2 linked regions of the Oreochromis niloticus genome follow. The protein of the gene in region 2 binds, or shares a complex with, the protein of the main gene of each other region. Links are inferred from orthologs where the notes say so. Each region holds a gene or a part of one and is shown on either strand. Other genes may lie near its edges. The genes, in order: zmpste24 and lamin-A.

Region 1 (3,927 bases), on a different chromosome or scaffold from region 2:
ACCCACAATGAGCAAGCACTCTGTGACAGTGGGAACGATAACTAAACAGACACATTCAAGACATACCTTCAACTACGTAAATTTTGGTGAGGGGGAAGCTTATGCTCTTGGCCATGGCCTCGATATCTGTCTTTAACTCTCCGTCCGGCAATGGTGTGAATTTGTCAAACAGGGGAGCAATGTAATCAGCGTAGATGGTTACAAGTACCTTAGAAGACAGAGATGACAGGATGTATTACAGGTGTAGTATCAACTATGTACTTCTTTTGAGTTTCTCACTAGTTATCTGACAAGGAACTTATTCCCTTATTACACAGTGATGCATTTTCAACGTTTTCACAGAGCGAGGTGAACGCGCCACTAACCAGAGAAACGACCAGGGTAAAGAGCCAAGCATAAATGAAGAAGTAGTCTCCGCCAATCTTTATGATGTACAGGAGCAGGGAGGTCACAGGAAGCAGGATACACTGAGTGACAGCAAACTTCTTCACGGCATCTTTGAGGAAGAACCCCAACGTCTGAGAGGAAGAACAAACATTAAAAGAGGAAAGTGGAAACAGGACATTAATATAGTGTGTTAGACTTCTGATGTCTGTTTACTTCTTCACAGATGCTCCGGTCTCTGAATTCATTTTGGGTTTAAACAGACAAGATTTCACAGTGGAAAACTTCTTATTACATTTAAATCATTTGTGTTTTTGACATTAAACAACATAAAGACACATCCTCAGTATGACCCGTCACTGTGGTAACTTCAATTCAATCAAACTCAAGTTAGTCTTGGCTACAAACAGTGAGTGCATTCCAGCCAGTGTACCTGCTGATTAAAGCCGTGCTTCTCCTCAATGACGAAAGTGTTGTACAAACTCCAGGGGAGTCCAGTTATAGCACTGAACAGGGTAGCAAGCGTCAGAAACACGAGGGACTGGGTGATCTCGTACTCTGGACCAAATCCAAAGCGAGCAGTCACAGAACCGGCGACAGCCCACAGAAATGGTATTCCACCCAGTAGCAGAATCAGCTGAAACAGTTTTGAGCACAATATTTTAAATGTGTGGCATACAGAATGAGTTAGACTACGCTAATCGTAAATATCAAACAAACAAAATGAACAAAAAGGAAAAAAAGCACACTCTTTTCACTAATATTGTATTAATACTTCATCAAGTCCATTTAAAGTCCTGCAGGTCAAGAAGACACTTTCTGACTTTCACTTTTCTCAACAAGTCCACAGCTACTACACTTGTGATAAAAGAACATTTTAATATGAGGAAGACTATCAACTCAAAAACAACTGTGTCTTTTAGTTAAATGATCATCTTACCGTCCCCTCAGTCTCAGAATAGAGTCCAGACCAAAAGCTGAAGTTGCTTTTATCCAGCTGATAAAGACGTGACTTCTCAAATGTTTCAGAATCCATGATCTTGCCCAGCTCCTGCGGTACATGGGTTGTTGTTCTATATATCCTCCTCTGCAGTGTAGGAAGACATGTGCATAAAGTTACATTATCACTGAAACTCATCAAGGTACTGATGAAGTAGGGATCCAATGCTGTCAGTGTAACTGACCAAGTTACATATTTCAGATATGTTATTCATCAAGTGTTAAACTCAAAACTTGTCAAGTATCACATGAGAAAATCATCATAATATAATCATTACTAATCCAATTTGATGTTTTCCTTCAAATCTGTGTTTCAAAGAGCATCTTTTTAACCTGTTGAGTCTATACTATACAATCGTGTCAACGATATTGCAACAATTCGACCTTTGAGCTGGTAGGTGAGGCCAATAATGTGTGTTTTTTTTATACTAGGGATACAAAAAAACTGCTTTGAAGTCTTTTAGCTCTAAATCACTACATTTGAACTAAAGAAATTTCACAGAACGAGTAAACATTGCCTACTGCCATCAATCTAATGATTTACAGGAAGGCCAAGGCCAATTGTGTATGATAATCGTGTGAATCCCTGTCCATATCCTCATAAAAGTGGCTCTCTGCAGTCTTTCAATGTGTGTAGTAGCATATCAAGACTACATGCTAATATTCTGGGTTAAAGACGTTCTCTGTATTATTTGCTACATCAGTTCCTGTTCCTAGAGGAACTACACCCATCCCAACACTGTCGTGAGATACTTTTCAGTGTAGCTTAACTGAAGTGGATACAAAAAAAAAAATGTTAATAGGATTCAAACAGCTTCATATTTCACATCCACAGACACGTGTCTGGGCGTGAAATAGACCAGTGAACATTTCCAGCAAGCTGATAATAGACCCGACTCATAGCTTTGTGGGTTCGTATTAAGAAATCTTACGCTGTTGTGTTTTGAAACTAAATACCTAAAATACTGAATAGCAAAAAATCTGGTGTCCACCATTACACGAACCCTGCCAAACTGACCCCTTGGTCGCATCACATATTCAACTATCAGAATATCCTATATTAAACTCAGACTTTATGAAAGACACAGCTCATAGTGAGTCCACAGGAGATTAAAATCAAATGTTTTAACCGCTGTCAAGGGTTCGTTGATTTACGCTCTGCTTTTATTATAAAGCAGAGGGATTTAATCTTGATAAACAATTGACTCACCTGTCTGTAAGAAAGATATGCCTCCCAAAGGTATACTGTCCATGAAAACCCTAGGACAGCGTAAAATATCTGCTTTTCCACCGGCAGGTCAACTATAGTTTCAACCATCTTTGCTGTTTTACTAGAGCAGTTAGCTAAGCAGGCTAGCAGCTAATTAGCTTCCGCTCTACACACACTTACAGACAAATAGACAGCACTTTAAACGTGAATTATGGGAAATATGCCCCTCCGTCAAATAGACAGATACAGACTAAAGTTTAGATCTTTGCATCCAGTTTTCATTCCTAAGAAAAGTCTAGGCTTTTACAACTAACATCATTCCATTCATATCAACTACCGAGCCCGTTGGTTATGCGTATCAACGAATTCGGCACCCAAAGGAACGTCTTCTATAACTTGGTTCCGCAGTGGATTTTCTTAATTTGACTGACTCACTAAAGAGTTAAAATTTTTGTATCTCAATAAAACACCTTTATTTGAACCCCCATTAATAAATATTCCACACAAATATTTGTGTACAATGCAGCTCAGAATGTAAATGTATATTCAAGTTAGTTAAACTCCTAATAAAGCATAATTTAAGGTTTTAGAGTATTCCTTTTTTTTTAATGCACGAGAACTACACGTTTATTGCTGGCGGTAGCAGCCTCATATATGCAATGAGCACGATAGCTAAACAGACGTGGCAGCGCAGGAAATGTTGACTTTTGCTACTTAATTCCTCTTCTCAGTTCAATGTGATTATTTACATGCAATCACCAACCATAAAATAACGGTAGTTACTTCAACACAACAGGAAACGTGGCGGGTCCTGTACCACACCCATTTTATACAATACAAAAAAGTACGCACACATTTAAAGTGTGTATATTAATGTGGCTTTTCATATCTATATAAATATGCATTTAAATTCCTAACAATTTACCTTTAATTAAAAACACTTTAGACGATGTAAAATCTTAAATACTAAAACCACACAGCTGCACTCTTCCCTTCCCATGCACGGAATCTGTTTATACATTGCAGTGTCGCATCTGAAACTTTTAACCACACGTGTGCTAGGGAAACTGGATTCTGACAGACCTTCCGGCAGGGCCTCCTGAATACTGCTAATGAGCTAATACTGTAACTCACTGAAAGGTAATCCCACAGAAGTGCTGCACAGCTAACTCTGGACTGTTTGGACTTCTTAGAGTCTGGGACTATAAACGATGTCCGGCTTTATCTGATCCATAATCCATAAAATAAAACTTTAAAAATAAAAAAAAAAGGTCATGTAAAGCACTAAGCATACTTTTTCAATTAACAGTTTTAATCTGAGGGAAGACAATGAC
Region 2 (3,927 bases):
TCAATTCATGGAAAGCCCGGCACAGGTCAGTGTATCAATCACTAGCAAAGTGGGGTCCATGGAGCTGGGGGGGTCCCTGAGGGCTCTCCGGGGGGGTCCCAAGTGAAATGAAAACCACAGTTATTTAATTCATTAAACGCCACTGACTGAAAAGTGTATTGCTAACTGCTGTAGTAACAGATGTATGAGGTGTGATGTGAAATAATTTTACCTGAGCATCAGCGTCAGCTTCAGTCCAAAACAAGCTTCAGTGGGATCCTGTGTGGAAAAAGAACCAGGGTCATTTCAGAGCAGCACAAGTTTTGAAACAAAAACAAAAAAAAGATTTTGAGGTATTAAACATTTGATTTGCCATCTAATATTTTAATTACTGCAGCTTTAAACTTACAGCAACTTAATCTTGGCTTTTTGGGTCTGAACAGGCTTAATATGATGCCTGACAGTAAAAATGTGAACCACACAAAAAGTAACATGTTCAGATACACAGCAGCAAAGTGATTACTTTAAAGTGTACATTTATTTGAAAACCAGAGGGTTAACTTGTTTTTTCACTGGCACCGCAACCATCTGGCCTCTTGCAGTAAATTGAGTTTACATCACTCTTATATCACTGCATAACTACAGTACAAGCACTTTCTATTTTGCTCGTGCCACTGTTGGAGATGAATTCAGAGATTAAGACAGCACTTAAACACAAACATAAAGCACAACATCCTGCAGACTCACATCATCCTGTCTAACCTGAACTCAGTGGTGCTATCATCAGCTGTTCAGCAGGAGGAGAAGAAAAAACCCATCCGTGCTCTGTGAGCGATGTTTGCATGGGCTATTCCAGGAACAAGAAACATGACTCAAGTAAAAGTCATGTCCTCATTTAAATACTAGTATACACATCATTTCAAAATGTACTTAAAGTACTATAATAAAACCATGTATATCACTTTGTTGTTGCAGCTTGACTGTTTTAATTACATACAACGCTCGGTAGCTTTGTCTATAATAACCTAGCATCATGTATTAGCAGAATCATAGTTTAAAATCATTAAAATACGTGGCAGGGAGCACACAGTGCAAGGAATTTATCCAAAATATATTGGATTAGAGGAGGAAAGTATCATAACATACAGAAACAAAGTAGCCATGCTCTCAACACTACTCTACTTTAGTTACCTTAGTGGGGGGCACCATGAGGGGGCTGTGCCACCCCTCATACTGGCTCTCTGGACACACCCCTGTTCCATAGTCACCCCTTACACACATTTGGTTTATTTTCTCCAAACATCACCTGCTCGACTGAAACCCTCACCAGCTAAAAATACTGTCACTACCGAAGCGTTAATCATGGTCGCCAGGTGGCGCCTGCAGGCTGCATTGTAATTAGCGGAGATTGGCAGCCTAATCAAGTGTGTGGATCTGCAGGTGGCTGCTGACTCGGGTTGGCTCGACTCGGAGCTCCGCGGCTCTCCGATTTGTTCAAAGGAAACGCGTCCCAGCGGATGATATCGTGATTAACTGGGACTGCCGACATTTGGAAAGGTCACCGGTGAGCGCAGAGACGGGAGACGCGTTTTAAAGCGCTGCAGAAGAAAAGGCAGAAGAAGGCGAAGGTAGGACGGAGAGCGGAGTGTGTTTCAGCTGGAAGATGAAATGCATTTATTCTTCTTCTTATAGTTTCTAACAGGGCGCAGGCAGAGAGTTGAATCAGTTCATGAACTCTTTGACCCACACTGACAGTTTCCATTCAGTGTGTCAGCCAGTGGATGGCGTGGATGTGCTGTGCTTGTGAATGACTTCAGTGGAAGGCTGTGCACTGTGGGGTTCTATTTATGTCATATGTACTGAGTGGTAGCAGGGGGCGCCAGAGAGGCACAGAGTGAGAGCATCCTCATAATTCGTGACGAAAGCATGCATGTACACCGAGTGAGCGCTTTGTTAGAAACCACATTAGAATGAGCCAATCACGCGGCAGCAGAGCGGTGCGCGACACCCAGCAGGCGCTTCGCCCAATGATGACATCATACTCCAGAAAATAGGAATAAATATGAGGTTTGTGTCAGCTGTCCTGGTTTGAGTATTACTGAACCTGTTGATCACCCCGGATTTCCGGAAAATCTGCACTCATACTGATGCTCAGAAAACAGAAACCACACAGGTTTACCGGTAACCGAAGTCAATATTGATTGTTCAGTTTTGTTATTTGTCTCTCGACGTGAACCGGGGAAATCCCCCAAAATCCACGCTGTGAAATCAGTCAGAATCAGACTACTTTATTAATCACGGTGTGTGGGTGGAGGTGGAGGGATAAATTAAAATGTCAATATGATATAAAATATGAAGCTAGAAAAATGTAAACAATATATATAAAAATACGTTTTAAAAGGGCCACATTCCAATAAGGTCCAATTAGTTAAAATAAATACTCTAAAGTTTAATGATACTACGGACAATATACACAAGATGTGGCGAGTCTAAATAGTCCAGTTGTAGTAGAGGGTAGTTGTAACGTTTGATGGCTAGTGGCAGGAATCAGTTCCTGTGCCGTTCTCTGCATCAGGATGAACACAGAGGTACTTGAAAGCCTCCGCTGTCTGCGCATAGAAACGGGGCCAACAGACAAGGGCGTAGATTTGGTTTTGGCATTGGTGGGGACGGATGATTCAACCACCGAACCCTGCGCTGTTTCTTTTTCTTTTTTTCCTTTTTGTCTTTGCTTCTTCATTAAAAAAAAAAGAAAAAAAAGGGAGAAATATACTTGCTTACATATGCTATTCTACATGCTTTTAAACCATTTAAAATTACAATTCATAGTTTTATATGTGAATTATATAATGTTAAATTACTATTAAATAAATGACTGATTTTAGACTTTAGTTTACTTCAGCCATATTCCATATAAATCAGGTATCATACAAAAATAAAAAAAAGCTTCAAATAGAGTCATGACAATAAAAGAATATGACTTTAAGGACATTACTTCAGTTATAGTGCACCAACATCTCTTACACATTAGCACTAAGGGAACACTGAATGACCTGATGGTTTTTGTCCATAAAACTACTCGTCTAAGATTACCACAAAGTAAAAGATCTCTCAGCAAAATTATGCAACCTTTTAGGCACTATTGCCCCGATCAAGTCAGTGAGCTGGGACTTTTTATTCTAAACATGAACTACTGTTACAGCAACACACATGGACTACTGGTGCCCCACACAACAACTCAATGTCCACTATGTGAAGGAGTCTATACTACTGTTTATACTATACTGTCTATACTATACTGTCCTGGTGGACATGGCAACACTTTTTTCATGGTTACATACAGTTTTATACGGTGGCCCTGAGAGGCCAAACGGACTGCAACTTCAGAAAACACTTGCAAAAAGAAAAATGCTGCAAAAAGAAAAATGCTACAAAAAGAAAAACACTTGCAAAAAGAAAAATGCTGCAAAAAGAAAAACGCTGCAAAAAGAAAAACACTTGCAAAAAGAAAAACACTTGCAAAAAGAAAAACGCTGCAAAAAGAAAAACGCTGCAAAAAGAAAAATGCTGCAAAAAGAAAAATGCTGCAAAAAGAAAAACGCTGCAAAAAGAAAAACGCTGCAAAAGCACACAAAGCACAACGGAAATAGGAAAAAAGACAACGGAAATGTTTCTGGGGAGACAATACCCGGACGGACCAATTGCACGAACCAAAACATGCTAACAAGTGCACTGGGAGACACTTCAAAGAAGTGGAGCGGCCAAAGAGTAAACTTTCAAAAGTAAGTTCTGAATATTATGTCACTTATTTATGTGCAAATGTTTAATAATGAGGAACATTAAAACATTACTGTTGGCCACATGCCGGCAAAGTTATGTGACATTAGCGATGTTTGTACTTTCAGCATTTACTTTGTTTTAAAGCCTTTACTTTATACGCCGTTAGAT

Evidence for each region.
Region 1: the proteins of lamin-A (region 2) and zmpste24 are in contact, whole or in part, in a crystal structure (PDB 2YPT), measured with the Homo sapiens proteins. The link is inferred for Oreochromis niloticus from reciprocal best matches to the Homo sapiens genes LMNA and ZMPSTE24. Residues at the interface, in NP_001393912.1 of Homo sapiens: Cys661, Ser662, Ile663, Met664; in NP_005848.2 of Homo sapiens: Ser264, Asn265, Ala266, Tyr267, Phe268, Val332, His335, His339, Glu415, Leu438, Asn439, Asn442, His459, Arg465.

What each region holds. Positions count from the first base shown.
Region 1 is NC_031983.2:13,757,594-13,761,520, reverse strand, and holds the start of zmpste24 (CAAX prenyl protease 1 homolog), read right to left. Parts: upstream 2,979-3,927; 5' UTR 2,702-2,978; coding exon 2,594-2,701; intron 1,472-2,593; coding exon 1,325-1,471; intron 1,022-1,324; coding exon 818-1,021; intron 519-817; coding exon 366-518; intron 209-365; coding exon 67-208; intron 1-66. UniProt on the Homo sapiens protein: Transmembrane metalloprotease whose catalytic activity is critical for processing lamin A/LMNA on the inner nuclear membrane and clearing clogged translocons on the endoplasmic reticulum.
Region 2 is NC_031976.2:36,004,201-36,008,127, forward strand, and holds the start of lamin-A, read left to right. Parts: upstream 1-1,428; 5' UTR 1,429-1,607; intron 1,608-3,927.